7 linked regions of the Sus scrofa genome follow. The protein of the gene in region 5 purifies or fractionates together with the protein of the main gene of each other region. This does not show direct contact. Links are inferred from orthologs where the notes say so. Each region holds a gene or a part of one and is shown on either strand. Other genes may lie near its edges. The genes, in order: POLR3K, POLR2F, POLR3F, UXT, uncharacterized protein LOC106505238, POLR3C and CRCP.

Region 1 (4,861 bases), on a different chromosome or scaffold from region 5:
CTTTGTTGTACAGCAGTAACTAATCCAACATGTTAAATCAACTAGAGTTTAATAAAACGAATTTCAAAGGAGAGAGAGAAAGATCTGGAAAAGCAATGACATCTGAGGTCCTGAGCAAGAATTCAATCCATCAATAACCAAGATCCTGCCCCCTGCTGGCCCTCAGGTGTCCTTTTCCCCTTTAGAGGAGAGAGATGGACAAAGCATCAAGTATCAAAGAAATACCATCTCCTAAGTTTACCGCAATCCCAGGAATTGAGAATCAAAATAATAAAAGAAAATCCACGCCATTGACAATGTCATAACCACACTAGTCCTACACACAGGAGTCAGTTTTGGATTCTTGTTTTGGGATTTGGCGTCTCCACCTTAAGGCATTTAAAACCCTGAGAAGGTGGTATCGGATTTTAATTTTAAGTAAATATTCAGAATAAACGCTGATCCACCGAGTTTGCAACTAACAGCTAAATACTTAAGGACAGCTAGTGTTCTAAGTCAAAGCCCCATTTTCTTGGGTGTGCCAACATATAAATAAATGTTTACGAGCGTCAGCTGGTGGCGAGAGAAAGCTCACTGCCCACTAAACGGGAAAGATGGATAACAGGACCCTAAATAAGACGCACTTGGTGTGGCCACTGCCCCCAAACACAAGTTCTCCCTGGACGTCAGCAAATTCATCCACTGCCTGGGCGATGGGGGCCATCTCCTGGCCCCCCGGCCGGGCCACTCTGAGAAGGCTGGCTTTCTGCCACACCGGCAAAGATGCTCAGAACCCGCAGTTCCCTTCCAGCTGGGAATCCGCCCTGGGGAATGAGGTGAGCAGATGCTGGGCAGCGGGGCCACCCGGCCCTAGTCCCTCCAGCGGTGTCCACACTGAGCATTGCAGCACTTGTAGAAGGTGGTCATGGGCTCGTCGGCAGAGCGGGTCTGGAGCTGCATGAAATAGGCCCGAGGATGCTCACACTTGGGACACGGCTCTGGCGTGAGAAAAACAAGGGACCCACGGTTACTTCAAAAAGGATGCCCAGTGTGGCACAGAGGCTGAAGAATCCGACTGCAGCGGCCTGGGTTGCGGCTGCGGCGCGGACCAAGTCCCTGGCCGGGGAACTTGTGGCATGTGGAGGTAGCCCAGAAAGGTCACGGTCATAAGGCAGTAAGCCACCTCAAGATTCGAAATCAGGTCTGAACAGCTCCAAAGCTTGTGCCGACACTGGTTTTGGAACAAAGAAAGTATCAAGGAAGGAGTTCCTGTTGTGGCGCAGCGGAAACGAATCCGACTAGGAACCATGAGGTTGTGGGTTCAATCCCTGGTCTCACTCAGTGGGTAAAGGATCTGGCCTTGCTGTGGCTGGGGTGGAGGCCAGCGGCTGCAGCTCTGATTAGACCCCTAGCCTGGGAACCTCCATATGCCGTGGGTGGGGCCCTAAAAAGCAAAAAACAAACAAACCAAAAAAACCACCACATGAATAAATAAAAATTTCTAAGAAATTATTAAGGAAGAAAATATAGACTTCCTCTTCGCAGAAGCACAAGCAGACTGCCACGGAGGGGCAGAGTCAGCAGCCCCGTACCATCCACAGCTCTGCCCGGGAACAGGCCTCTCCCTCTCACCTGCGGTGGAGTCGACGTTCTCCCAGGCAGCTGCTCCACCAAGCACGTCATCCACTTCTTTCAGCTTTGGGTACTTCCGATTCGTTACCTAACAAACAACAGCCACTCTTCAGTCTCTCCAACTGACTGAACCGCACACCCCAGGATCACCTAACCACACCTGCCCGCAGGTGTCTGGCTTCTTCCACCCTTCAACCCGGACGGGAGGGGTACTGGACAGGCAGAGGCCCTGCTCCATCAGAACTTAGAGGACCCATGATTGGACTGCCCCAAGAGAAGGTCTCTGCAAGGACTGGACAAAGCAAGAGGAGCAAGAGAAGCATGGCTCGGGTATGGCCCTCCTCTTCTCCCACACCCCCTAAGGCTGGGTAGCCCGAGACGAGGCCCCAGAGAACTGAGGCCAAAGAAGGGCAATCTCAGCCGGGGAGCCGCCCCCCCCCCCCAGGCTCCGGGCAGAGCTTTCTAAGCACTTGCCAGGTTCTACCAGCCGTCCTTGACCTGTCGGGGTAGGTAAGAGTCCACCCTCCGCGTCGTTTCAGACCCTAAACTCCCACAACACGGCCACATGGCAGGACACTATACAAATCTATACAAATACTAAGGAGAAAGTAGCACTTGGGAGTTCCCTGCTGGCTCAGCGGGTTACCGCCCTGGTTCTGTCCCGGTTCTGTCGCTGCTGTGGTGCAGGTTTGCAGGTGTGGAAAGCGACATAAGCAAAAGAAATCTTGGTGACTCCATTTTGCTGAAATGCCTTCCTGCAACCCCCCCCCCTTCCCTCTTCTCCCAGTAACAGTTTGTTTCAAATTAGCCAACTGGGAAGAACGTGCACCCTGACCTGACCCACGGGAAGGGGACAGGGTACATCCCCTGTGTTAGGGATAAACAGGGGAGGGTCCTTTGTTCGGGGCACGCGCACTTTTTGGGGTGCCCAGCGCCCTTCTGCAGCAGTAAAGAGCCTTGTCGAGATCTCCCCGTGTTCACGTGCCTCATTTTTCGACAATGACGATCCGAGCCACGTCCCCAGCACAAGGAACTTGTGCATGCCAGGGTGCCGGGGGCGCGGCCAAAACAAAAACTAAACAAACAAAAAGAAAGAAAGAAAAGAAAGTATACTGGAAGGCAGTGAGCCCTATATGAAAAATAAAACTAGGGAACGGAAAGGCCGCATTTATATAAACAATCCCTTAGGTAAATACAGGCAGGAGTGACAGGAACGAGTGAGTCCCTAGGGGAAGAGCGACTAGAACAGAAAACTCCTGCACAGACCCTGGAAGCAGCGCCTTGGGCAAGACCGGGGCGCCTCCGAGAGGCTGGCGGTGCGGGCAAGAGGCTGCTGGGACGCGAAACCCAAGCAGAGGACGGAGCTAGGGGAGGTGAGGGTCAGGGCCTGGCGCGCTCCGCGAGAACGACGGCTGCGGCCCTGCGTGCCGGGAGGCCGGCGCGGACCCACCTTGCGGGTGATGTTGTGCACATAGGGGCAGGTGTTGCAGGCGAAGCGGTGGCAGCGCTGACCCTCCTCCACAATCAGCCCGTTCCCGCAGCCTGGGCAGAAGAGCAGCATCACGACAGCCCAGCCTACGCTCCCTGCAGCTCCCTGGCCGTGGACTCCGGGGGCTTCCGGGCGCCCCGAACTCCCCATTGGTCCCGGCGGCCGCCTCTCAGCAATCAGCCCACCAGTAGGCACGTCGGCTCCGCACTCCCAGTGTGCACTGCGGCAGGCTGGCTCCCAAAGCATCATTTCTCATTGGTCCTGGCGGTAGCCCCGCCCCTCGACCAAAGGCCGGGCCGTGGGTGGCTTTCCCCGCGGGAAGCCCGGGAATCCCGGGCCCGGGTCGCGAGAGGCGGTGTGGGGGCGGAACCCGCGGGCTGCGAGGCGCCCTGGAGGTGGCGGGGGCCTCGGGACGGCCAGAGCCGCAGGAGGACGAGGAGGATGAGGAAGAGGCACTGCCGCACTCCGAGGCGGTGGACGTTTTCCAAGAGGGTCTGGCCATGGTGGTGCAGGACCCGCTGCTCTGCGACCTTCCGATCCAGGTGCGCATGGGTCGGGGCCTCTTCCCCCGCTCCGGAGCCCAGCGTCAGGGAGAGGACCGATTCTGGGGTACCGATGATGGCAGCGGCCCGGAGACCTCCAGAAGCGGCCTCAGGGCGTAAACGAGGGTCTAGGCTCCGACTGGGCCTGGGAGGCGAGCGAGGCACTGGTCTCCGGCGCGGCATTTACGAAGGGTTCCCTGGTAGTCTAGCGGTTAAGAACTCCGCCATTGTCACTGCTGTGGCTCGGGTGCTGCTGGGCGTGCGTTCGACTGGCAGAGGAACTCTCGCATGCTGCGGGCATGGCCAAAAAAAAAATAAAAAAGGAGCGCCAAAAACCCGCTAGTCAGGACACATGACATTTCAGTATAGTGTTTTGGTTGGTTTAGGAGGTTTTTTGTTGTTTCGGCTTTTTGTTTTTGTCTTTTTAGGGCCGCACCTGGGGCATATGGAAATTCCCAGGCTAGGGCTGGAATCCGCTGGCCTACACCACAGCCACAGCAACTCAGGATCCAGAGCGGCATCTGCGACCTTCAACACAGCTCATGGGCAACGCAGGATCCTTGACCCACTGAGTGGGGCCAGGGATGGAAACTCCAGTACAGTGTTTTTAAAACTCAACATTGGTTTATAAAGACCTAGGGTAAACAAAATGATATCATGTCAGATAAAAAGACCAGTATTAAAGATTTCTGGAGTTCCCATCATGGCTCAGTGGTTAACGAATCCGACTAGGAACCATGAAGTTGCAGGTTCGACCCCTCCCTGGCCTTGCTCAGTGGGTGAAGGATCTGGCGTTGCTGTGAACTGTGGTGTAGGCTAGTGGCTACAGCTCCGATTAGACCCCTAGCCTTGGAACCTTCATATGCCGCCAGTGCAGCCCTAAAAAACCAAAAAAATGAAAAATAATAAAGATTTCTCCATTCTCCTCAGGCTTCAGTATGACCTGGCACACTCCTGTTTTTAAATCTTTGTATTTTGCCCATCATGAAAATGTTAAATTAGTTTGTTTTCTTGATAGTGGTATTCGTCTTCTGTTGCCCCGGTAAATGTTGCACCCCTGCCCCAGCCTTGCCTGGGGCCCCAGGGCCTGAGGGTTTTTTTGGGGGCAGGGGGAGCCCTCCCAGGCTGGGCACTCAGGCCCAGGGCTGCCCCTCCCATCCAGCTGCTGGGCCGGAGGAGCAAGGGCTGCTCCTCAAGGAGGCTGTTTCTCTGCTCTCCT
Region 2 (3,476 bases), on a different chromosome or scaffold from region 5:
CCGTCTGCACTTAGTAGATGCTGAACAAACGTTTCTGGGATAGGGTTTGGGTGAAGTCTGACTCCCGTTCATGAGCACCACCTGGCGGCTGGATGAGAGACAGCTTCCCTGAGGGCATTTGCTCTCACGCTGCCACGCAGGGAGTCGGGCTGAATAAGTCAATGCTCGTGAATTATTTGTGTCTTGAAAAAAATAAGGCATGAGCAGATAAGGGAAAGCATTTTGCCACATACTTGAAAGCTTTAAATTTGGGGGAAGTTTGTATACTTGCTGAGAGAGGATACAGGGAAAGTTAAACACTCGCTCTCTGCCCTCGGGATGTATTCAAGCTTTGGGAGTAACAGACATCAAAATATTTAGTAACGAAATTGGAAGGTTATTTTAGAGTCTGTTCAGAGGGTCTGGGGAAGGACCTGGGAACCTGTACATTTAGCATATGCTCTCCTAGTAATTTCGACACTTAGCAGAATGGGGACCCATTCATGTGAACTTAAGCTGGGATCAGTAAGGGTGGCTTCTTGGAGGAAGTGGGCCTAGAACTGGCATTGTTTGTGCCTGTTTGTTTTTAGAGCCTCTGCTGTGAGCCAAGTATTATGCTAGAACATGGGATCCTGGGCCACCAGGTCTAATTTGGAAAACTTCAGACAAGTAGGCACAGTGTAGTGATACTGGTGCCAAGAGAAGTGTGTGTAAAACCAGTCAGGACTCTTGAGGATTCAGCAAGTGATTTCTGGAGTGGAGACATTTGAATCTTACGGGCTGTTAGGGAGAGGAGGAGCTTGTACAAGGATGCAGAAGGGAAACCGGAGGCTGTCCAGGGAATGGACGTAGTCTGGTGTGCTGGAAGGTAGCGTCAATGCCGGCAAGCAGCCCGAGAAGGTGAGCAGGAGCCACTGGGGTTCTGCCTGATGGCCGTGGGGTGTCACGGAAGGGTCGTAAGCAGGCCCTTAACGGCTAGAGGAGCAGGCCCCTTGTGGGGGTTGATGCCAGGACAGAAGGAAGATGAGGTGAGCTGGGCCCTGAGGCAGGGCCGGGGGGTTGTGTTAGAAGAGTCAGAAGGGGGAGCTTTTGCACCTGCTGGTCCTTTGTGCTGGAATGCTTTGCTGTGGCCGCGGGCCCAGGAGTCTGTGATGGGCTCTGGGGAACATCCTTGGCAGGGGAGCTGACATGATGAATGTCAGAGGGCCCAGTGATGAAGGCTCACACTTGACCCTTTCACGATACCTTCCATTCAAGGTCTCCAGCTTTTAGCGGGAGGTGTTACAGCACAGTAAGGGGGAGCCTTTGGGGTTCACATGTTGGCTCTGCCACTTACTGGCTGTGTGGCCTTGGGCGAGTTACTGACCTCTCTGTGCCTCAGTTTCCTCGTCAATAAAATGGAAGTACCAGTAGGACTTGGCTCAGATGAAATAATCTAGGTGAAGGGCTGAGGGCAGCAGATGGCATGTATGAGTCTTTGCTTGTTAGCCTGTAGAGTTTCACCGTCACTGTTGTGTAGGCCTTTTTGTCTTCATTTTCTTTCTTTCTTTCTTTTTTATTTATTTATCTTTTTCGCTATTTAGGGCCACCCCCACGGCATATGGGGGTTCCCAGGCTAGGGGTCGAATTGGAGCTGTAGCTGCTGGCCTACGCCACAGCCACAGCAACGCAGGGTCCAAGCCACATCTGCGACCCACACCACAGCTCATGGCAGCACTGGATCCTTAACCCACTGAGTGAGGCCAGCGGTTGAACCCGCAACCTCATGGATCCTAGTCGGGTTCATTAACCGCTGAGCCATGATGGGAACTCTTTGTCTTCATTTTCAAATGAGGATGCTGAGATTGGGAGAAAAACATTGTCCTTGGAGGCGAAGGGTCAGTCTGGTTTGCTGGCTCCCACCGTGGACCCTCACTGTCGGTGCCCCTGAACCGCCGCTCCCTGCCCACCTACCTGGCAGGTGCCTTTTCTGGGTGAGGCCTGGTGTGCTGACCACATTCACCCCGACTTGGTGCTGGGCCCTTCTCCCCGTGTCTGTAGTCACCCCCAACACCTGTCCCTGTACCTGCAGGATGTGTGCCCCCGTGATGGTGGAGCTGGAGGGGGAGACAGATCCCTTGCTCATCGCCATGAAAGAGCTCAAGTAAGTCGTCCAGGTCCCGGTTCACTGCTCCAGAGCCCAGGGGCCACCCCTTGGGTTCTCTGCTGCACTCCCCTCCCCGCTTCCCTGCTGGGGAGGTGTGGTTCTTATTCGGGCTCTGCCCTTGGCGGGAGGGGGACGGGGAGGGCGCCGGCCAGGGGGGAGGGGAGGACATGGCTGAGGCGTGGCCCCCGCCTGTCTGTCAGCACTGCCCCATTCCGACTGCGCAGCCCTCCGCTCTCCCTCCTGCTTCAGCCGCGGGAGGGCGGAGCCCTTCCAGACCCACCGTCCCTGCTCAGCGACGCAGGAGCTTTTTGGGTGGTGATCCCTGTCCTGCCCGGGGCCCCCGTGGTCGCAGGAGGATGCTCCTGAGACGTCTCTTGCCTCGCGTCCTCCGCATGGCCCGTCCTTGTGCCGCAGAGCGGGGTCAGCAGCCCTCACGTACCTTGACTTCTCGCCGCCGCAGGGCCCGAAAGATCCCCATCATCATCCGCCGCTACCTGCCTGACGGGAGCTATGAAGACTGGGGGGTGGACGAGCTCATCATCAGCGACTGAGCTGCAGTCACCTTCCTGACGGTGCCTCGCCCCAGTGTTCAGTCTCACCTTCTTTACGCGTGTAAATAATAAACCCTTCAACCTTTCAGCCCCCTCTGCCTCCAGCTGTCTGTGAGCCCGCCCACTCCTTCCCTGACACAGCACTGCTGCCTGGAGGGTGCGCCCATCCCAGTGGCCCCGGGACTGTCAGCCCTTTAGGAAGCACCAGGGGCCCTGGTCTCCTGGGGCTCCCCCGTCCCTCCCTCCATCTCGCTGCTGTCCACCAGAGCAAAGGCTGCGGCAGGAGACACCTCAGCTGCCTTCCTGGCAGACAGAAGAGCCTTTGTGCCCAGGGAGCTGGTTGCCACGGAAACCCCCAATTTCCTTTCCAGTGGGGACTGGCTGCAGGGGCTTCTCCCTTCTCAGGAGTATCACAGAGCAGGTCTCATCAAGCCACCCATTGTTTCCTGAGGACCTGCCTCGAGCCTCTTATCGTGGGCTCGGATCCCCTTTCAGGAGCCAGTGCCCCAGCAGGAAGCTTGGGGATGCAGTGATCTCCTGCCCTCCCCGAAAGGGCCCTGCCGGCCAAGTCAGCAGCTGGAGCGAGGGCCGAGCACCTGCCCACCTGCCCCCTCAGTCCCCCCTCCGTAGGCCACTGCCCACACACTGTCCTCTGTGACCCACCCCTCGGGTCTGCCACACCCATACCCTCCCTCGCAGCCTCTGGAAGCTGTCCTTTCCCGTCCATGTGGGGCCCCGGTCCTGCAAGGCCTTCCCTAGGATGGATGCTAGGGTGAAGGTGGGCGGGGAAGCAGGGCTTC
Region 3 (4,113 bases), on a different chromosome or scaffold from region 5:
GCTGCTCAGGTACCCTTGCTGAAATATGAGAAGGGCACTTTACTTCTGTGGTCCTTTTTCCAGTCTAATCAGACAAATCCCAGTTAAGGGACATTCTACAGAATTTTTGCCATTCAGGTGAGTTTCTCAAAACTGATAAATTCATCAATAACAAGGAAAGTCTGAGAAAACTGTCACAACTAAAATTTGTGTATTTACATCTACTTACGCAAATAAGTAAATGTAATGTAGTGTTCTGGATAGCATCGTGGACCATAGAAAGGACATTAGGGAAAAACTAAGGAAATCTCAATAAAATATAGACCTAAGAGTTAGTACTGACATATTAATATTGGTTCATTAATTGTAACAAATGTACTCTAGTAATGTCAGATGTTGCTAATAGGGGAAGCTGAGCACAAGGTCAGTGGGCAGTCTGTACCATCTTTGCAATAATTCTGTAAGCCCAAAACTGTTCTGAAATATAAAGTTTGGAAGGCTTTGAAGTCTTAGTTTTGGAAGCCTGTGTTGTTACCTCTGAACCATCTGCTCTGCATGTTTTTTCCTAGGCCTCTAAAAAGAAGGTGTATATGCTCTATAACCTGCAGCCGGACCGGTCTGTGACTGGAGGAGCCTGGTACAGTGACCAGGATTTTGAATCTGAATTTGTAGAAGTGCTTAACCAACAGTGTTTCAAATTCTTGCAAACCAAGGTGAGGCATAACTGAGATCACATGATCACTGTAGTTTTTTTTTTTTTTAAGTTTCTTCACAAGAAATGTTTAATCTTGTACATCATATTTTGTTTCAATTGAAAATATTGAGATTGTTCTTTTTCACTGAACAAAATACATTCTGTTGCTTTCACTCTATATAAACTGTATTTAGAAAACACCAGAATTCTTCCTGAAATTTATGTTTCTATCTTTATAGGCAGAAACGGCAAGAGAAAGCAAACAGAATCCCGTTATCCAAAGAAATAGTTCTTTTGCTTCATCACATGAAGTGTGGAAGTATATCTGTGAGTTGGGGATCAGTAAGGTCAGAACTCAGTTTCTAATTTTATCTTGTTCTTAAAAACTTATTCTTCAGGAGTTCCCGTCATGGTGCAGTGGATAACAAATCTGACTAGGAACCATGAGGTTGCGGGTTCGATCCCTGGCCTTGCTCAGTGGGTTAAGGATCCGGCATTGCTGTGGGCTTTGGTGTAGGTTGCAGATGCGGCTCAGATCCTGCGTTGCTGTGGCTCTGGCGTAGGCCGGTGGCTACAGCTCCAATTGGACACCTAACCTGGGAACCTCCATATGCCGTGGGAGCAGCCCTAGAAAAGGCAAAAAGACCAAAAACAAAATACTTATTCTTCATCACAGGGATATAGTTTACAGTATATTCCAGACACACCTGACACAGACCCTTTTTTCAGGTGATACCTGTGTATATTCTGCAGAACCCATTTTGAGAAAGTACCATTCTAAGCCAGTTAGGCAAAGGCGGTCATTGCCATCGGGCACTTGGTGAACTGTATGTGCTTGAGCCTGGGATACAGGGTAGCAGAGTGGAGGCCTGACAGTTCGTTTCACTGCCAGATTCAAGTCTGTTCTGGCAAGTCTGTGACTCTCTGGGGGACATTTCAACATATGTGCCAAACATCAGTCATCGTATCAGTTGTCACTAATTGGTATTTTCCTCCTTATGAGATGCAAGTGGTGGTGTCAGCACACTCTTCTGAACATCCATACATATGGACAACATCAGAGAAGAAACTGAAGCAGTCACTTGGACAAGTCATTTTCATTTCCTGGGTTGCAGATGTTTCTTTCACAAAAAACCAGGAATTTGGACTATTTGATACTCAACCATTTTATAACTCTCCATCAAATTCTTGCCAAAGAAATGTTACGAGATGTCTGGATCTTACTTAGGAGCGTGAAGATGTCAACAAATGTCAAGCTCAGCATGAGCTCAGTTAACCACCCTCCAGAAGGGTGTCTCCTTGTCCTTGGGTCCTTTCTAACATGTCCCTTTTTTAGGTAGAGTTGTCCATGGAGGATATTGAGACCATCTTGAATACGCTCATTTATGATGGGAAAGTGGAGATGACCATCATTGCTGCAAAAGAAGGCACTGTTGGCAGTGTGGACGGGCACATGAAACTATACAGGGCAGTCAACCCAATCATCTCTCCCACGGGATTGGTCCGGGCCCCCTGTGGACTCTGCCCGGTGAGTTCAAGTGGCATCACTGTACACTTCACTGCCACCAAGTGCAAAGCTGCATAACGTACCAGCAAGCACACCCTAGTTTTCTCAAACCTAGGGTTGAACCAGTGCTGCTGAAGCCTCCATGTAACCTTGAGGACAGGCCTTTAATGAGCAAATGATCACCATACATTCTTAGAACAACCAGGTTAAAGAAATTTGTTTTCTGTTCTTGGTCCCAAAATGGACATTTTTTTTGTTTTGTTTCGTTTGGTTTTGGTTTTGGTTTTTTGGTTTTTTTACTTCTTATTTTTTTTTATTACTCAAATGAATTTATCACATCTATAGTTGTATAATGATCATCACACAAAATGGACAATTTTTTGATGGGAGCAAATCATTTAACCTATGTAGGGAGGGAACTGAGATTTATTGAGAACCTGTCATGGGCCAGACATGTTCGTGAAGGTCTCTGTGGTCTCATTTAACCCTCAGGTCCCTCACAGCTGGCAGTGTCATTTCCCTTTAAGCATGAGGGAACTTAGGCTAAGGGCGCTCTGAGAGCATACAGCTCAGACACAGCAGCCAGGACTCACAGCTAGAAGTGATGTGCTTTCCTGAGGCCTGGCCCACCCACGTTTTCATTTGTTCCTTCCCAGAGAGCTCCTGAGCACCACCCGTGTGCTGCAGGCACTGTCCCAGCCCTCATGGCATTTATATCCTTGGCCTGCTGGCCTGTGTTTTATGATCTACACGCCTAAGCTCTCTATGCCCTGGTTTCAGCTCTCATAAAAATGGCTAACCTGTTGGGAATTCCATTTATCACCTTTCACACAAAGAAGGTAGCTAAACAGGGGGTGTTTGGTCAGTTAAGTCATTTGTGTGTATAGATCTCCCTTCCTGGGCTCTTGTTACCTGCCAGCACCCCAGTGGGCAAATGAACGTGGTTATCTTTATGTGTGTTGTCTTTTTTTTTTTTTTTTTTTTTGTCTTTTAGGGCCGCACCCGAGGCACATGGAGGTTCCCAGGCTAGGGGTCTAATCAGAGGGGTCTAACCACAGCCATAGCAACATAGGATCCAAGCTGCGTCTGAGACCTGCATCACAGCTCATGGCAACGCCAGATCCTTAACCCACCAAGTGAGGCCAGGATCGAACCTGTGTCCTCATGAATGCCAGTCAGGTTCACTAACCGCTGAGCCATGAGGGGAACTCCTTGTGTGTCTTTTTAGGGCTGCGGCTGTGGCATATGGAGGTTCCCAGGCTAGGGGTTGAATCGGAGCTGTAGCTGCTGGCCTATGCCACAGCCACACAAGATCCTTAACCCACTGAGCAAGGCCAGGGATCGAACCTGTGACCTCATGGATGCTAGTCAGATTTGTTTCCACTGAGCCACACAGGAACTCCAAACATGGTTATCTTAATGCTAAAGTGAAAGGTCTCTCACTGACTGATCACAAAGCAAGTCGTGTTTCAGTATGTTCTTACATACAGTCCTAATAAAACCTCTTTCAATTTGAAAGTTTTGTTGTTAATATTGTTTTAAATAAACAGTTGGGGCTGGGGTATTTTATTAGAAATTTCAGTTGTAGTTGATATTAAGACATTATCTGTAATGTAATAATTTTATAAAGTAATAATTTAAAACCTCAGCATTCTTAAACTTTTTAAAACCTCAGTGTTTATAAACTTTTTTCTTTTTTAAAGGTATTTGATGACTGCCACGAAGGTGGTGAGATTTCCCCATCGAACTGTATTTACATGACAGAGTGGCTTGAATTTTAATAGAGAGATACGAACTTTACTGACATTTTGCCAATGAAGTTACATTGGAAGCAAGTAATTAATGACGGAACATCAGATTCACTTCAAGGCAAACTTCAAGATACAGACTCATTGCTATGGAAAAGTATTTTTGAAGACTAAATTTATATTGG
Region 4 (3,358 bases), on a different chromosome or scaffold from region 5:
CGTTTTCTGAGATGGAGAAGACAGTGAAAGAGCGGAATTGGAGGGCAAGATCAGGAGTTCAGTCTAGGACCTAGTAAGTGTAAGATGCTTATTAAACAATGAAGTAGATTTTCTGAAGATGTAATTAAAACTCCCAAGGCTGGAGTTCGGGGGAGAGGGCTGGACTGAAAATATAAATTTGGGGAGTTCCCTGGCGGCCTGGTATTTAAGGACCTGGTGTTGTCACCACTGTGGCTCGGGTTGCCACTGTGGCACAGGTTCTATCCCTGGCCGGGGAACCTCTGCATGCCCCCACCCCAGCCAAAGAAGAAAATACAAATTTGGGAGATAGTGGAGTTCCTGCTGTGGTGCAGCAGGATCGGCCACATCTCTGCAGCACCAGGCTGCAGGTTCGATACCCAGCCCGGCACAGCGGGTTAAAGGATCCAGTGTTGCTGCAGCTGCAGCATAGATAGCAGCTGTGGCTTGGATCTGATGCCTAACCCAGAACTCCATATGCTGCGGGGGAGCCAAAATAGAAAAACTGGGGGGAGATAGTGATACATAAATGAGTTTACACTCTTTTTTTTTTTTCCAATTTAACATCCTATGTCGTTGCCTTCTACTTTTCTTAACAGTATTTAGTTTCCCCAAAACTGACTCTTACGTTGACAGGATAACTCGGCACAATAGAATCCACCTTCCTTATCAGGATATCAAGACCGTGCATGATCTAGCCCTTGCCTACCTCTTGGATCTTGTGCCACTTTCCTTCCACCATTCACTTACTTTCTAACACTGGCCTCCTGATTGCTCCTCTAGAAGCTCTTTCCGGCCTCTCGGACTTCTTGTGAAAGACTGTCCTGTTTAACTCTTACTCATTCTTCAGAAAGGCCTTCTTTTATCCTTTGCATCACTTAGGCTTCTTTTGGGTGAGCCTGGTCGCAGTTGGCTTAGATGTCAGGAGGTAGGAATGGGCTGGTTGGCGTAGCTCAACAGCCCAGAGCCAGAGTGGTCCCGCTTTCCAGTTGCTTTAAGCCTTGGTGTCTTCCTTGAGTCCTCTCTCTCTTGCATCCAACATCCTCCTTTGGTAAATCCTATTGACTCTACCTTCAAAGAAGTATCCCAGCTCCAATCATTTCTCATCCCCTCAACCGCTGCCACTGCGGTCCGAGTCTGCATCTCTCACCTGGACGATTCCGACAGCCTCTGCAGTGGCCTTCCTCTTCCACACCAGCTGTCCTTATCCCCAGTCGGTTCTCCACACAGCAGCCAGATGGATCCTCTGAAACCCTAGTCATTTGACCTCCCTTCTCTGATCACAATACTCCCCTTGCTCCCATCCCACTTAGAGTCAAAGCCAGAGTCCTCACCATGGCCTGGTAGATTTTACACGAACTATCTCCCCCACTTACCTCCGTGACCTCGCCTCCTCTACCTCCCCACTTCACTTTTTCTTCTCCAGCCACACTGGCCTCTTCGCTGGGCCTCAGACATGCCAGGTACGCGCCCACCTCAGAGCCTTTGCACTCTCCACCCCTTGTGCCTGGAACACACATCCTCCATATGTCCACATGACTCGCTTCTTTGTTTTAAGTCTCTACTCAAACGCTTCTCAGTGAGGCCATCCCTAAGCACCCTAATTCGAATTCCAGCCCCCACTCCTGTACTCCCATATCCTCTCTCATTTAATTTTTTTTTCATTATAATTTTAACCATCTGACATACTCCATATTTTACTCCATCATCTGTCCCCCTTAATGAGAATCTGAGCTCCAAGAGGCCGAGATTTTCGTTTGCTATGTCTGCTGCTATCTCCCCAGTACCTAAAACAACCTGGCATAGAGTAGGCATTCAGTAAAGGTCTTGGAATCAGTGTAGTGCAGATGGCGGCCAGGCATGTCTGCCTAGGAGCAGGCCAGGTAGTAGGGGTCCCACCACCTGCCGTGTGGAAGTCATCCAGGACTTAGGCGGTTCTTGAAGCGGTGAGGGCACATCATCCTCACGGATCCTAAGTGGGGCCCACCTCGCCCTTTCTCGTTTCTTTTCTCCAGGCTCAGCGACAGCCTCACCAAGGACTCCATGAATATCAAGGCCCATATCCACATGTTGCTAGAGGTGAGAGCAGCTCACCCCACTCCCAGACTCTATCTCCAAATATTTAGGGTGGTGTCCTGAGGAAGGGAGAGAGCCAGAGATGGGAAGGGCCATCTTTCCCTCCAAATGAGTCAGACAGGAACCAGGCTGGCTCTGAGGGAAGGGAGTTCCAAGCAAGCCTGAGGTGGGGCCTGGACCCAGTCTCCGTTCAATCTCTTCTGTTCTCTTTTTCAGGGGCTTAGAGAACTACAAGGTCTGCAGAATTTCCCCGAGCCTCGCCACTGACTTCTTCCTACCTCCCTTGACATTAAAGAGCCTGAATGTCTTTGAGTCACGTGGCCCTTCTTTCCCCCATTAACTTCTGCTGTTGGCTAAAGTGCCGTTTCTAAAGCACAATGTTACTGGGAGGCGCAGAGATCCAGTCTGTGTAGAATCTTTAAAGCACCACTGAAGTGCCGCCTCCAGCCTGTTTCCTGGCAGAATGTGCCACCTGACTTTCCGCTCTGCCCTCTCTACCATCGCCTTGGCAACCTGGGCCCCCACCTGACCCTTCTTTCTATTTCCTTTCCTGTGCACTACTGCTTGAATTAACCATAGAGAACGGGCCGATTCAGGGTGGCGGTTTGTTCCCTAAGGCAATCAACCTTTCACTCCTGGCCCTAAAGTTTACCCTTCTCCCACACTCCAATCGTTCCTCAGGTAACTTAAATTACACCCACGCCCGTCTAGGCCCAACCTTGGCCTTGTCCCAGCTTCTAAATAGTTACAGCTCCAGCAATGGGCGCAGGGCCGATCTCGCCCGCCCTCCCTGGTCCGGTCCTCATTCTAGGCTGAATCCAGCTTCCGCCAATCGATACAGAGCCAGGTTCCACCCCTTTATTACTGGCTGCAGCTCGACCCTGCCCTTGTAGGCATTTCGTTTCCACCACTCAACACTCCTTCGCACGTCTGGCAGCTGTCCTGCCCTCCTTCCTCTGCTTCGTTCTAAATTCGTCTTTTCTAGCCAATCGCCACAGAGTTAGCCTGCCCGCCTCCGCAGATCCCTGGTCAGACCTCCTCCCAGCGGGGCTGCTAGCCTGTGTACTTCTATACAAGTCCTGCTTCCGCTGGGCTGCGTGGAGTTCGGCACCGCCCATTGGTGTTTTGGCAGCTGTCTAGGCGTCCATCGCCCGCCAATCAGCAGGAAGCAGAGCCTAACCACTTCTATCCTCGGAGGCTGGCCGTCTTCCATCAATCTCATATAGGCCAATCACTGCGAGGCAGGCACCCCCGGAACCTTGTC
Region 5 (4,113 bases):
CCTAGGTGGCTTGAGACTTAGTAGTCTTGCGTTTCCATCATGGACAAATCCCTGATAGATTGACTTGAGGGCTGCATGTATTCTTTCTCATCATGAGAGAGCTAGTAATACAGATTCCCAAGCCCTGGGTTAAAGCCCTCGGATCCGGGGACGTTTCTAGTTAACTATCTCCACGCTTTAGAAAGGCACTCCAGCACAGACGGCGCACACAACCAATGCCTGCGTGGTGCTGGTGGAACGTGTTCCCGTTTCGTCAGCAAGGCACAGGAATGCCTGCCCGACGCGGGCCACAGACTAGACACGGTGCCCAGCCTCAGGTTAGACAGGTCGGGTGTGACTGCCTCATGAGTTGAGGGTGTCAAACAAAGAACTTGGTTTTCAGAGATTTTTAAATTTGAGAACAAGCGTATGAAATCATAGGTCGGGAGGTACCACTCACCGGAGCTCGACTACGTGCCAGGCACTGTGCAAGGCGCTTCAGACACCATCTCCTTAAATCCTCGCAACAGGGAGGCGCTTCTGTTACTTCTGTTTACAAAGAGAAAACTGATGTAACCTTCCCTTGGCCCCAAGCTAATTCGGCTGTGGGAGTAGGACACGTTTTACTGAGGCTAAAGGGCTACACTTTACCAGGTGCTTGTCAGGCATCGGGCATTGTCCTGAGCGCATGCCCTCACCCTCTGAGCTGCATCCAAGCCTCCCAAACCGTCTCCATTATTATCCACTATTAAAAGATGAGAGGCAACGGAAGATGATTTACCAGGCCCAGGGCTCGGTCTGGTGGATCGCATGACTCCAGAGCACGTGGATAAACTGTGTTGCACGGGGTTTGCAGCAATCCACTGGCTGGCGGTGAGTTGATGGCCACATTAAAGGCCTGAGCCGGCCCTGCCAGTGAGCTCCTCAGCCTCACGCTCCGTCTCTTAATGCCCGAGCGTGGAGCCATTTACTACATATGCCCCTTCAGTCGCCCGCAACTGCCCCCCCATTTATTAATGCGTGTGGGCGGGCACTTTTCTTCATCTCTAAGATGCGTCCTGCACCAACATGCTTGGAAAGAGTCGCTTTCATACCCCACTCCAAGAAAACCGAGTTCTCGCCAAGCCATCCTCCACGTTTCACCTTGAATAGAACCCCAGGCACAGCCAGCATTAAAAGTTGCACCTCTGATGTTTTGTTTGTTTTTTTTCTCCCAACACTGGCATCTCTGATGTTAAAGAGATGTCAAAGCCAGTTTTCTTGTGGACTTTCTTCTAGAAAACCATCTCATTCCAGAATAGCTCTTTTGGAGCTCCCATCATGGCTCAGCAGAAACAAATCTGACTAGAGGGAAAAGGACGTGGGGTGTGGTGGATGCAGCCCGACGTCAGGTGGTGGCGGCCCTGGGGGTTTGGTTTGCTTTCCTTTTCCGGCTGGAGTTTAAAACCACAGTGAATGAGATGAGGAGCAAAGAAGAAAGGCAACAGCAAAGAGAAAACGCTTCTGCAAGGACAGGACACACACTGTTGGGCTCCCTGCAGCCCCCAGGGCTTTGCTTGTCTTCCAGGAAAGTACACTGGCTTGATGCTGGAGATGGGGGAGTTCCCATCATGGCTCAGTGGAAATGAATCTGACGAGCATCCATGAGGACACAGGTTTGATCCCTGGCCTTGCTCAGCGGGTTAAGGATCTGGCGTTGCTGTGGCTGTGCTGTAGGCCAGCAGCTACAGCTCCGACTAGACCCCTAGCCTGGGAACCTCCATATGCCACAGGTGTGGCCCTAAAAAGACCAAAAAAAAAAAAAAAAAAGAATAGCTCTTTTGGTGCCCATGTTGAGTCGATGGGTTACACATGCAGCAGGAAGCCAGGACACCTCCTCTGACACATGGCCCCCTCTCAGCACGAAGCCTGCAGTTTTCCAGCTGAAGAAGACCGCACTCCATCTCAGGCGCACACGTGGTATTAAAGATGGCCTCATGTGGAAGGTGGTGAAACACGTCCAATTCACCAGCAGTTTCCAAAGGTTTTAAGATCCTGGGTTATTGCACCGCCTGGCAATAATCCCCTTCCTTACTCATTTATTCCAGAGAGGAGCTGAGCAGTTTTTCCAGCCCTGATGAGCCACTGCACTGAAAACGCCCCACGGTTCTTCTGAAGCCGGCTGGCTTTCCCCGGCTGGCCCGCCACGCCCAGGGGAGATGGTGGTCCTGCAGGAAGCCTGAGCCAGAGCTGGCAGAGAGGGCCGCTCGGCTTTTCCTGCTCTTTTGTTCCACAATGAAGGGCAGCCTCCTCCCGCAGGCTACTGAGGTTGTGTTTGCTATAACACACCAGTGCGTCCTGCTCTCTTGATTTTTTGCTAAGTTTGCAATGCGGTGGCTCAAGGATCGTCACCCCATCGATGCCTGAATTCAGTGATAACCTAACCTGGTCACCGAGGGAAGAGGCTGGCTGGCCCTCCTAACTGAACAGAGGGTCCTAGGGCTGTACCTCTGCAGGGCACACCTGGCTATGCCTTGTATGCCTGGCCATGCCTGAGGCAGCATCAAGCCAGTGTACTTTTCTGGAAGACAAGTGAAGCCCTCGGGGCTGCAGGGAGTCCAACAGTGTGTGTCCTGTCCTTGCAGAAGCATTTTCTCTGCTCTTTTGCTGTTGCCTTTCTTCTTTGCTCCTACCTCATTCATTGTGGCTTTTAAACTCCAGCCGGAAAAGGAAAGCAAACCAAAGCCCCAGGGCCGCCACCACCAGACATCGGGCTTCGACCTCCGAGCCCCACGCCTGCCACGCCTGATACCTGCTGGGTGCGAGACAGCTTATTTGCAGCAGGAGACATTTTCCTGTCTTTCTCCTCCTCCTTTTCCTTCCAGATTCAGTGCCATTCTGGTTGCCTGAGGGGGCCTGACCTCGGAACACGGGGCACTAGGCTGGTGAGCAGTTTGGTCTCTCCCCCACGAGGGCAGGCCAGAAAGTCACTGCAGTGCGTGCCCGTGTTACGTGGGATTCGCCTTGAATCGCAGTTTGATAGAGGCATGGAGATCACGGACGCCTACATTCACTTTTGTTCAACACCAGCCTCCCTGAGTAACACCATCTGCAGGATCAGCATCCTCCTAAAATAGCCCTGCGTACAGGCAGATGGCTCAAGGCCAAGAGAAATACTCAGGTTTTATTTGTCTGGGGTTGTCTTTCCTAAAATGAAAGATTTACTACACCTGAAAAATCAAACATCCTGAGTGTGCAAGCAGAGCAAAGCATGTAAACTATGCTGTGCCTGGTTGCACCCTTCCTTCCGGGTGAACTTGAATCATGACACCACTGAAACGGAGGCAGCACAGAACCTCCCTCGGGGTGGACGTGGGAAAAGGCTCGCTGACAAGGCAAACTCAACACACAGTCTCAGAGCAGAAAGTGTGAGCCTTTCAGAGGGTGAATGAGGTTACTGCAGCCTCATGGAGTCTTTAGACAGCTTCTGTTTCTACGGTAGCTCGTTTCCTCCGGGAGGGACTTATTTTTGCTCTTTGATATTTAAAAACAAGCCGCCACAAAATTTAACTCGAAATGCGGATGACGGTCAAATCAGGGACTTGGGGTGTAAGGAGACAGTGTTAAACGACTCAGGCAGTCGGCGCTGTGGTCAGTACCTGTACACACCCTCTGGTAGGGTCGGGGCTCGTCGCCTCTGAAGTCTTGGGAGAAGGGCCCGCGGGTCTCCGCAGGCTCTCCTTGCCCTGTACTCGGAGTTTACACTAGGTGGCACGCAAGGGAAGCTCACAAGTCGGGAAACTTGCTTCTGTGGAAGCCGCTTTCTTTGCTGCTCCGTGGGCTCAGCTCTGGAGTCAGTGTTTGATGTGTGCCTGTCCTGTTTCCCCCCAGGATGAAGTGTCCTCTTGCTGGTACCAATAAGAGATTTCTCATTAACACAATTAAGAACACTCTGCCGTCCCACAAGGAGCAAGACCATGAACCCAAAGAGGCCAGTGCGGAGCCTGCGAAAAGCCAGAGCCAGAAGGAGGAAGGCCGGCAGAAGCACAGACCGCATCCGTACAAGCCGGGCGGCCGCGCAGGAGGCGCCGCCCGCCGCTCCCCGGGGAAGCGGGGCCAGGAGAAGCCGCAGCCGCGCTCCCACACGCGGTGAGG
Region 6 (4,584 bases), on a different chromosome or scaffold from region 5:
ACTTGAGATGGTAGGGAGAAAAGATACAGTAAGTGGAGGAAAGTTAGACTGTTTTCTCACTCTCAAAGGCAAACGGTGAACAGCAACTTAAAGATCAGAATAGCCAAGGCCTCACTGTTCATTAGGGCATCACATTCAACATGTCACTCATCACACATGCACTGGCTGAATTCCAGACTCCCTCTCTGTGGTAAGGAAGAGTTCTGGAGCCTCCAATGTCCACTGGAAAAACAAACAAACAAACAAACAAGCCACGGCACCTGCTCTTCTCAGCACTGAAGTATAGCAAAAAGCACACAGACACAGACACACAGCCAAATCATCCAAGCAAAACTAAAAGAGCGTGTAGATGAAACTACGACCATGAAGTTAGGGGTGGGGCAAATAGAGAAGAAAGAAAATACAGCAAAAGCCTGAAAAAGCACAACTCAAGTGAAAAGGCTAAAATACTGTTTAGGCACTTTTCACTGGACTCCACTGGTGTTTCTAAGAACTAAGACACAGAGACACACTTTAATAGGCTTTCTCACAGATTGTATCTGAGACACTATAAACACTGAGATAAGTAGTTACACAGACACCCTCTTAAGGCTGAACAAAGATACTTCTAAGGAAAAGAACAACCATAACTAGTTCTAAAGATGGTTGGCCAAAGGTAGGATTAACATTCACCCTGGTGGATCTCCCTGCAGTAGTAACTCAACCTAAAACAGCCTCTGGGCTTGGGGTGCAATAGCTGGCAAGCATGCTGCAGAAGCACTTTTTTTCCACAGCCAACAGCACTACCTCTCTAGGGGCTAACACAGTCTGGCAGAAACTGACGAAAACCAATTTTACGTCAGAGGATGCAGTCCCCAACATTCTGTCCTAGATCTTCTCACTAAGTGAAGAGAGAGAATGGGGGAGGGGAAGGAGGGGCGGGTAAGGCAGGTGGTGCTAAAGATACTGGCAGCATGACAACCAAAATAAGAGAGTTGAAAGAATATGTTCTGCCTTCTTCCTAAAGCCATTTCCTTCGACAGTGATTGGGATCGCAGTCCGCAAGTCATTAGTACACCGCTGTTTTCACTTTCACAAGAACGCTGGAAACCCCTGAAGAGTAAAATCCCCCTCTCTGCCCAGTTACCTTCCAACCCTCCCTCCCCCCCCCGCCCCGCTTTCTTCCCTCCTTCCCTAGAGACAATGAATAAAGACAATCCTCAGCAATCCGCTATATTGCTTCAATGAGGATAGTGGAAGGGGAGATCTGATGAAAAGTGGAAAAGGAAATAAAGATGAGAAGCAACAGCGGAAGGGGGGGGGAGGTCATTGTGGAAAGAGACAAGGTGAAGAAGAATGTAAGAAAACGGAGAGGAGGGGGTCAGCAGAAAACTTGCTAAGGAAAACCAGGAAAAAAAAAATAATAGAGGGCAGGTAAAAAGGGGAAAGAGTGAGGGACAGGTGGAGCATCCGAATGGAAAAAAGGCTGGGCGGGAGTTACTGAGCCACACAGCCCGGACGCCCGGGGTTTAGGAGACAGTGGGCAGCAGGTACCTGGGATACCCATGTCAGGGGAGTCGGGGCTGTGCGGGAAGCCTAAGCGCCGTTCTGGGACATCCGGACGAGGAACCCACGCGGACGCTGGCGTGCAGAGGACACACACTCTTACCGGTAGTTTGGGGCTGACCTCGCCCTTGCAAAAGTGGCAGAAAAACCGGTGCGCGGCAACAGCGGCGCCTGCGCCGGCCCCGGCCGCCGAGGCCTCCGCCATTTTTCTCTCCCGGCGCCGCCGTCCGAGAGGGCAGCCGGCCCGTCGCTCCCCAGGCCGCTACCTCCCGGCTACAAGAGACGCCTCTGCCTCCGCCGCCGCCGCTTCTTCAGCGCAGCTGGCCGCTCCAGAGTCCGCGCGGGTCACGTGAGCCCGCCCGGCCCACAAGGCGTCGGCGAGGACGGCGACCCCACGGCCCGCCTCCCGGCACCAAAGAGCTACAGGAAGGAGAGTCCGTCCGGCGCTGCCCTCCCGCCGGCTCCTCTAACACCCCTCGCCGGTCCTCCAACCTCCCAGCGAGAAGGAAGCAAGAGCGTCCCCGGAAACCACCGAAACGCTGGGGTAGAGCGGCACACGTTTTTCCTCTTTGCTGACCCTCCTCGTTGGCCGGGCTCCTGCGCAAAAGGGCCTTGGGGTGCCTTCTGCTCGAGCCGCTGGCTGGAGCCGCACGAGGTCGGCGGCGGCTTTAGATTGCATTGACCCAGAGGTTAGTGGAAAATGCGGTCTGAATGAGGCCGTTTCTCTAGACCCAGGGACCCAGTCCGGAACCGGAACCTGGGGGAAGGAAGTGTAGAATCAGGAGCCAGGTTCCTTGGAAATCCTTATCAAGGATGGCAGATGGTCTGGGGATACTTCCCCAAAGACCTGTGAGTGGGAATACTGAGACTGAAAGACACAGTCTTGGCTTCTGAGGGATTGGGAGAAATAAATGAACAGACCAGTGTGTGGTAGCACTTATGACAACAAGTGATTTTATAGTCAACTATGTTTGTTTCTTTTTGTGTCTACTTTGTCAAGGAGTAGAAATTTCAGAATACTGCCCTGCCAACAACATGCTTCATCTGTTGTTTGAAACACTCTGTTGAGACGCTCCTAATTTATTTTGCAAAGTTGTCATTTCTTACGGATTGGGAATGACACTTCCTGTTCACTCCCAATAGGCTGTGAATAGTGTCCTTAATTCCTCCAAATAAAATCATCTACACACGATATTTAAAGAAAATTGGACTCGTACATCCCATAAGGATAAGTTTGATATATTGTCTTGCAGTCTTTTTTTTCTTATACCTATAAGAAAAAAGGGGGTTTTTTTTTCACAATAATTTAAGTTTCTTCTACATTTTGCTTTGTAACCTGCTTCTTTCACTTAATGAACAATTTTGTACACTAATACATGTTACACTTCATTGTAAACATAGACGTAGTATGCCATTGTATGAGTCTACCATAATTTATTGAAATAATCCCGTATTGTTAGATATTATATTGTTTCTGGAATGTCAGTATTCTAAAGTGACATCATTATTATTCGCTTGAAACAAAATAGCCAAAGCAAAAGTATTAGGTCAAAGATATGCAAGATTTTAAGGCTTTTGACGTATCTACTGTCAAGTTGCCCTCCAAAAAGTACATGAATTTACACTTAGCAGCTCTACTCCAACATAAAAGAAAAACTTCCCATCGTGCTATTTTTTCTTTTCTTTTCTTTTCTTTTCTCAGGTCTGAGACTTCTCAGTACAATGACTCAAGCAGAAATTAAACTGTGTTCTTTATTGCTGCAAGAGCATTTTGGAGAGATTGTAGAAAAAATTGGAGTCCACCTAATCAGAACTGGCAGCCAGCCACTAAGAGTTATTGCCCATGACACAAGAACATCGCTGGATCAGGTATGTTTGGATCACACTAATTTGCTTTTATTTCATTAGTTTCCTTTACCTACCCTTGAATATTACTACTCCCCACCCCACAAAATACAAAAGAGAGCTACACTGAGATCAGAACAGTGTCATTGGGAGGGAGAGAGGATGAGACATAGTGCCTAAGGTTCTGCTTCTCAAAGCGATCTGGCTCACTGTGGCTTCTTAGGCAAACCTGTGCTTTTCATTTGCCATACTTCATTCATGCATGATGAGTCTATTAATTTCAGCACTACCTTTAAGGAATGGCAGTAACAGAGAGCAAGTAAGTTGTACTTTGTAAGATAAAGATCAGAGGAAATATGAGCTAGGAATCCTCCTGATTTCTTCATAAGATGAACAATGCGATTCTTAACAGCTATTCCAATGGAGAGAGAGAAGATGCACGGAGGTTCCAGCCATCTCCTGAAGTTTAGTAAATTGTTGGACAGAAATTGCCAACAATAATGAACTGCATTTTCCAATTTTTTTTTCTCTTTCTTTTGTGTCCTCTCTAGGTTAAAAAAGCCCTTTGTGTCCTCATCCAGCATAACCTGGTGATATATCAAGTGCACAAACGTGGTGTGGTGGAGTATGAAGCCCAGTGCAGCCGGGTGTTGCGAATGCTTAGGTATCCCCGGTACATCTATACTGCCAAAACGCTGTACAGTGACACTGGAGAGCTGATTGTTGAGGAGCTGCTGTTGAACGGCAAAATGACAATGTCAGCTGTTGTGAAGAAAGTAGCAGATCGGCTCACAGAGACTATGGAGGGTCAGTACTGTACCCACAGCTGTTAGCAAAAGCATAGATTGGCTGGCTGCAGGAGTGGCCCCTTAGCTGTCTGAGGCCATCTCACCTGCCTCTTTCCTCCTGTTGTACAGATGGCAAGACCATGGACTATGCTGAGGTATCGAACACATTTGTGCGACTAGCAGACACACACTTCGTGCAGCGTTGCCCCTTGGTGCCTGCCACTGAGAATTCAGACCCTGGGCCATTGCCACCTGCCCCTAATCTTGTCATCAATGAAAAGGACATGTACCTGGTTCCTAAACTGAGCTTGATAGGTAAGGAATTTTGACCCCTAGAACTGTAACTAATGGTATATTCTTCCTCAGTGATTGTTGAATGAATGAATGAATCAGTAAGCAGTTACCG
Region 7 (4,113 bases), on a different chromosome or scaffold from region 5:
ACTGAGCGAAGCCAGGGATGGAACCTGAAATCTCATGGTTCCTAGTTGGACGCGTTTCAGCTGCACCACGACGGGAACTGCTTACGTGTCTAATTTTAAAAGTGTGTCTTTGAGGATTGTTCCTTTTTCAGTAGAGAAGTTATGTGGAGCCTTTGAATCTTTAGAATATGGTCGTTTTATTTCACAGCATGAGGGGAAGTAGCTTCCTTGGTTCACTCTGGATCTTTACTCTGGAACATCCAGGAGTATTGGCTAGTTCTGGAAACATTTTTGGACTGAGATGAGTGAAGAGGCCAGTGGTTTGCTGGGAGTTTGATCTTGGGCACATCACCAGACTTCTTTAGCTTCTGTACTATTGTTTGTAAAGCTAGGCAGTCAAACTGAAGTCCTTTTTAGGATCATAAGCCTAGCTTGTCATCATGCTTTACTTAAATCTGCCAGGAATTCTTTCTGGAACGCCTTTTGATCTTAGTGGCCAGATTTCAGAGATTGTTAGGGGAAATGCCATAGGCTAGGACCCTGGACATCTTTAGCTGAGAAAGTGGTTTGTGATCGATGGCTCATGCCACCAAGTGAGTGTGGTTAGGTAACTTGACTGCCTGCAGGCTGCTTTTACAAAAGTGGTTGATTACATTATTTTTTTTGTTTGTTGACCTATTGAGAATTAGAGATGAGGCTAAGAAAACTGGCTTGTGATTGTGGATTTCATCATCTCTATGTTCGGCTGCCCAGGAGCACGTCAGAAACTGGGTTCGAAGCAGACCTTTGATGGGGTCGAGGGAGATTGTTTCCCAGCTGTCATTCACGGACTCCTGTTCTGCATTCTCCTGGCCAAGGCCATGCGGCCTGTGTTAGATTGTAGGTATTAGAGATGGGCAGGCCTGGCTTGGGATTCTGCCCTTTGCCAGGCTTGTCGTGAGGTTTAACAGAAATAATGAGCATGAAGTACTAGGTGCGACGCTGCACTGGGCACAGGAGCTCCCTAAAGGGCTGTTGTCAGCAGTGATAGTAGTGGGGATTAGCAAAAATATATAAAGCATTTGGCACATAGTGGGCGGTCATCCAGAGAGTTGTTGATACAGTTTATAAGTTACAGCTGTGTTGTTGTGAAATTACCAAAGTATATAAGATGCCACTTCGCTCCCCAGAGGTGGGTTTTCTTTGCATGTACAACATTCATGTGTGTATGTGGATGGGTAGAGAACTGTTAGGGATTGCTTTTTCTTTCAGGAAAAAATGTTAACCTGCAGCTTGCTTTTTTCACTGACCCTTGTGGAGCATTCACACTGGCTTACTCTGGAACTTGAGCTGGCTTCTCCCATTCATGAAGATGGAGGACCTGGACACCAGGGGTGGCTCAGGAGCCAGGCCCTGAGCCCCGGGCCTAGACCAGGAATAACATGGGTGAAGAGGGCGAGGCTGGGCCCCGCCATCGAGGCGTCTCTGTAACTCCTGGAGGGTTTTCTTTCCCTCTGCAGATGGTGGAGGAGAGCGAAGAACGGCTGACAGAGGAGCAGATCGAAGCTCTGCTCCACACCGTCACCAGCATCCTGCCTGCGGGGCCAGAGGCTGAGCAGAAGACACATACCAGCGATGACGTGACAATGGACGAAGAGGACCCGGCCTAGAAGAGCACCGTTGGCTCCAGGGTCTTGTGAAGTCGAAAGGCCCAGCAGCCATTTCCCAGACATTCAAAGGACTGTTTATTTGGTTTTACCTTCTGTCCCAACAGGCCTGATTTTGTGGCTGGTTTGGTAAACCACAAAAATAAGCCTTCCTCAGAAAGAAGCTAAAAAGAAATTCTTGTGCTTTGGAGAAGAAACCTGGTAAAGACAGGCTGAGGTAGTGGTCAGGGCAGAGAGCTAAAGAAAGGAGGACAGGGTCGAGGAGGACAAGGACGTGGAACCCCCTGTGGTAAAAATCCTTCCATGGTCTTTGGCGTGCTCGGGGCAAGGTCCTTGTGCATAGCTGGTGGAATACTTCCTTGTTGCCTTTGATGGGCTCTCGCCTAATTAATTCCATCTGCTTCCCTGGGCGGCTTCCCTGAAGGCCGCGGAGCACTGTTGGGATGAAAGCTGAGTTAGGAGAATCCCAGTAGAGGGCTAAAAACACGCAAAGCAGCAAATGGTTGCTCTGAGTTAAAATCAGCTACTGACCTTGGCTTACCTCAGAGGACTCCTTTCCTTGCGAGAAACAGAGATAAAGGAACAGCCTGGCCATCCCTTCCTCAGGCCCCTTTCCTCTGCTGGCGTGGGCCCTGTGAGCTGGCTCCCTAGTTAGTCCGAAGTGTTAGAGCGCCGGCTCCCTCCCGTTGAAAAGAGGCATCCAGGCCGAATGACCACGTCGCCTGCCTTTCTGCCCACCTTCGGTTTCCTGCCCCGTGACAGGCGCTGCTTGTTGAGGCCAGCAGGTGAGCTCCATGTGCACAATGGGTGCATTGTATCTTTTTAAAGGGCACAGTTAATGTCTCTCTTTTTGTGGACAGAATATGAAGAGGTAGAGGTTGATTAATAAGACTTTAATTTTGTTGGCTCTTGCAAGGTTGCATCAGTTTTTGAAAATTTAAAATGTTAGAATAATTACCATGTGAAGAACTTCTTAATGTTCATGCTTTGGAGAGTGTCGTAGCCCCAGACGTGTAGTTGCCCTTAGGTCCTAGGAATAGTGTTAAAAATTAATTCCCCCGTTCACTCTGCTCCCTATTTGGGGAAGAAAATGCCCATAGACATTAATTTTTCAAATTGGTACTCGTTTTGTTGTACGATTACATATTTTCCGTGCTTCTGTTAATTGGATTACTTCCCGCCTCTTGCTATTCCCAGGTTATTTCAGCCTCCCCACCACCCCTGCCAGCTGGCAGTTACGTTCATCTTAACCTTATCTTCTAAGGATGACTTGAGATCTGCTCACAGGCAATGTTGACATGAACAGGGCATTTATTTTTAAATCTTCTTCAAGTATCAGGAATTTTACCAGGAGCTATTGATTTGTCAAGACACGTATTTTGGTGCTCATGTCATTGTTGTTGCATTTTTGAGGTGCTTTTTTTCTTCATGGATTTAAGGCTTGATTAGTTGATGATAAATTGTTTCCAGGTGACTGCCAACTTGTGCTGTTTTTATCTTTCAAGAGTTTATTTTGCCTTGATTAGGAAAAAAAAGAAATCTGACTTAGAAAACATATATAAAATATATACATGTTAGTATTTTTCTTAAATTGAATCTATTTAGATCCGAGAATTTAGCCTCAGCTTCTGATTAGGTCAGACTTACTCTTTATAAGAAATATGGTCTGTGTAATATCCCCATCACATTAATAATCAATATTTCAGAAATAAAAAGTTGTAATTTACACAGGATCACATCTGGGAAGGAGAGCTGGGAGACTGGGAGACTTGCTTTTTTATTTTATATCCTTCTGTATGGTTTTAATGTTTGACCAGGTGATTGTTTTATTCTTTAAAAAGAAAAAATGTTTGTTTGCATGTTATCCTTGGTCTTTGTGAAAGTTAATAAATGCATTGTCCGTAGTTAAATTACGTTCCGAACGTGGAGGCTGACACCCAGTCCGGTCACTCTGGGAGACACAGCACTGAGGGGAGGTGATCTTTCGAGAAGGTGCTCCTGAGCTCTTGAAAAATGAAGTTGATTCCCAGTTAGTGGTTTATCCAGATAACCTCCTTGCCTCTTTTTGCTTCAGAGTTTTTGGATGACCCACTGCCAGCTCAGGGGACTTGCCATTTATTCAAGGTTCATTCCTGAAATAGTGGGTACCATTTTCCTAATCAGTTGTTGTGTAACCATATCAGCCCTCAAGAGTTTATACCCTAGTGAGGGACGAGTGAGTCAATCCTCCAGTATATTCTTCACTAAATCATTTTTTCCCCTGAGCCAATTTATTATCAATTTTATAAATGGATCATGCCTCAGTAAACTGCATATAAAACAGATCACATCCCCTGAAAAGGATCATCAACCTTATTTAATTACATAATGAACGAAGGGGAGAAAAGGAAGCAAAATGGCCCAGAACTTCCCAGAAATCCTTATACCTATTTTTAAAATTAGGATATAATTCACATACCATAAAATTTACCATTTTAAAATATTCCAC

What was found.
Region 1: the proteins of uncharacterized protein LOC106505238 (region 5) and POLR3K purify together in Homo sapiens (affinity purification with mass spectrometry; 3 studies listed by BioGRID and IntAct, with this or other methods). This does not show direct contact. The link is inferred for Sus scrofa from reciprocal best matches to the Homo sapiens genes POLR1D and POLR3K.
Region 2: the proteins of uncharacterized protein LOC106505238 (region 5) and POLR2F purify together in Homo sapiens (affinity purification with mass spectrometry; 4 studies listed by BioGRID and IntAct, with this or other methods). This does not show direct contact. The link is inferred for Sus scrofa from reciprocal best matches to the Homo sapiens genes POLR1D and POLR2F.
Region 3: the proteins of uncharacterized protein LOC106505238 (region 5) and POLR3F purify together in Homo sapiens (affinity purification with mass spectrometry; 3 studies listed by BioGRID and IntAct, with this or other methods). This does not show direct contact. The link is inferred for Sus scrofa from reciprocal best matches to the Homo sapiens genes POLR1D and POLR3F.
Region 4: the proteins of uncharacterized protein LOC106505238 (region 5) and UXT purify together in Homo sapiens (affinity purification with mass spectrometry; 3 studies listed by BioGRID and IntAct, with this or other methods). This does not show direct contact. The link is inferred for Sus scrofa from reciprocal best matches to the Homo sapiens genes POLR1D and UXT.
Region 6: the proteins of uncharacterized protein LOC106505238 (region 5) and POLR3C purify together in Homo sapiens (affinity purification with mass spectrometry; 3 studies listed by BioGRID and IntAct, with this or other methods). This does not show direct contact. The link is inferred for Sus scrofa from reciprocal best matches to the Homo sapiens genes POLR1D and POLR3C.
Region 7: the proteins of uncharacterized protein LOC106505238 (region 5) and CRCP purify together in Homo sapiens (affinity purification with mass spectrometry; 5 studies listed by BioGRID and IntAct, with this or other methods). This does not show direct contact. The link is inferred for Sus scrofa from reciprocal best matches to the Homo sapiens genes POLR1D and CRCP.

What each region holds. Positions count from the first base shown.
Region 1 is NC_010445.4:41,570,162-41,575,022, reverse strand, and holds the start of POLR3K (DNA-directed RNA polymerase III subunit RPC10), read right to left. Parts: upstream 3,295-4,861; 5' UTR 3,251-3,294; coding exon 3,062-3,250; intron 1,700-3,061; coding exon 1,612-1,699; intron 978-1,611; coding exon 850-977; 3' UTR 1-849. UniProt on the Homo sapiens protein: Core component of RNA polymerase III (Pol III) which synthesizes small non-coding RNAs using the four ribonucleoside triphosphates as substrates. Can mediate Pol I proofreading of the nascent RNA transcript.
Region 2 is NC_010447.5:9,904,650-9,908,125, reverse strand, and holds the end of POLR2F (DNA-directed RNA polymerases I, II, and III subunit RPABC2), read left to right. Parts: intron 1-2,050; coding exon 2,051-2,122; intron 2,123-2,585; coding exon 2,586-2,676; 3' UTR 2,677-2,767; downstream 2,768-3,476. UniProt on the Homo sapiens protein: DNA-dependent RNA polymerase catalyzes the transcription of DNA into RNA using the four ribonucleoside triphosphates as substrates.
Region 3 is NC_010459.5:26,732,614-26,736,726, forward strand, and holds part of POLR3F (DNA-directed RNA polymerase III subunit RPC6), read left to right. Parts: intron 1-548; coding exon 549-692; intron 693-912; coding exon 913-1,020; intron 1,021-2,009; coding exon 2,010-2,201; intron 2,202-3,883; coding exon 3,884-3,961; 3' UTR 3,962-4,113. UniProt on the Homo sapiens protein: DNA-dependent RNA polymerase catalyzes the transcription of DNA into RNA using the four ribonucleoside triphosphates as substrates.
Region 4 is NC_010461.5:42,175,190-42,178,547, reverse strand, and holds the end of UXT (protein UXT), read left to right. Parts: intron 1-2,033; coding exon 2,034-2,097; intron 2,098-2,310; coding exon 2,311-2,361; 3' UTR 2,362-2,406; downstream 2,407-3,358. UniProt on the Homo sapiens protein: Involved in gene transcription regulation. Acts in concert with the corepressor URI1 to regulate androgen receptor AR-mediated transcription. Together with URI1, associates with chromatin to the NKX3-1 promoter region.
Region 5 is NC_010453.5:5,085,401-5,089,513, forward strand, and holds part of uncharacterized protein LOC106505238, read left to right. Parts: intron 1-3,849; coding exon 3,850-4,111; 3' UTR 4,112-4,113.
Region 6 is NC_010446.5:99,490,866-99,495,449, reverse strand, and holds the start of POLR3C (DNA-directed RNA polymerase III subunit RPC3), read left to right. Parts: upstream 1-1,312; 5' UTR 1,313-1,648; coding exon of another isoform or gene 1,649-1,750; 5' UTR 1,751-2,234; exon of another isoform or gene 2,235-2,278; intron 2,279-3,242; exon of another isoform or gene 3,243-3,247; 5' UTR 3,248-3,267; coding exon 3,268-3,414; intron 3,415-3,941; coding exon 3,942-4,197; intron 4,198-4,307; coding exon 4,308-4,493; intron 4,494-4,584. Other genes in the region: E3 ubiquitin-protein ligase RNF115, read right to left, coding at 1,649-1,750. UniProt on the Homo sapiens protein: DNA-dependent RNA polymerase catalyzes the transcription of DNA into RNA using the four ribonucleoside triphosphates as substrates.
Region 7 is NC_010445.4:16,583,726-16,587,838, reverse strand, and holds the end of CRCP (DNA-directed RNA polymerase III subunit RPC9), read left to right. Parts: intron 1-1,478; coding exon 1,479-1,628; 3' UTR 1,629-3,535; downstream 3,536-4,113. UniProt on the Homo sapiens protein: DNA-dependent RNA polymerase catalyzes the transcription of DNA into RNA using the four ribonucleoside triphosphates as substrates.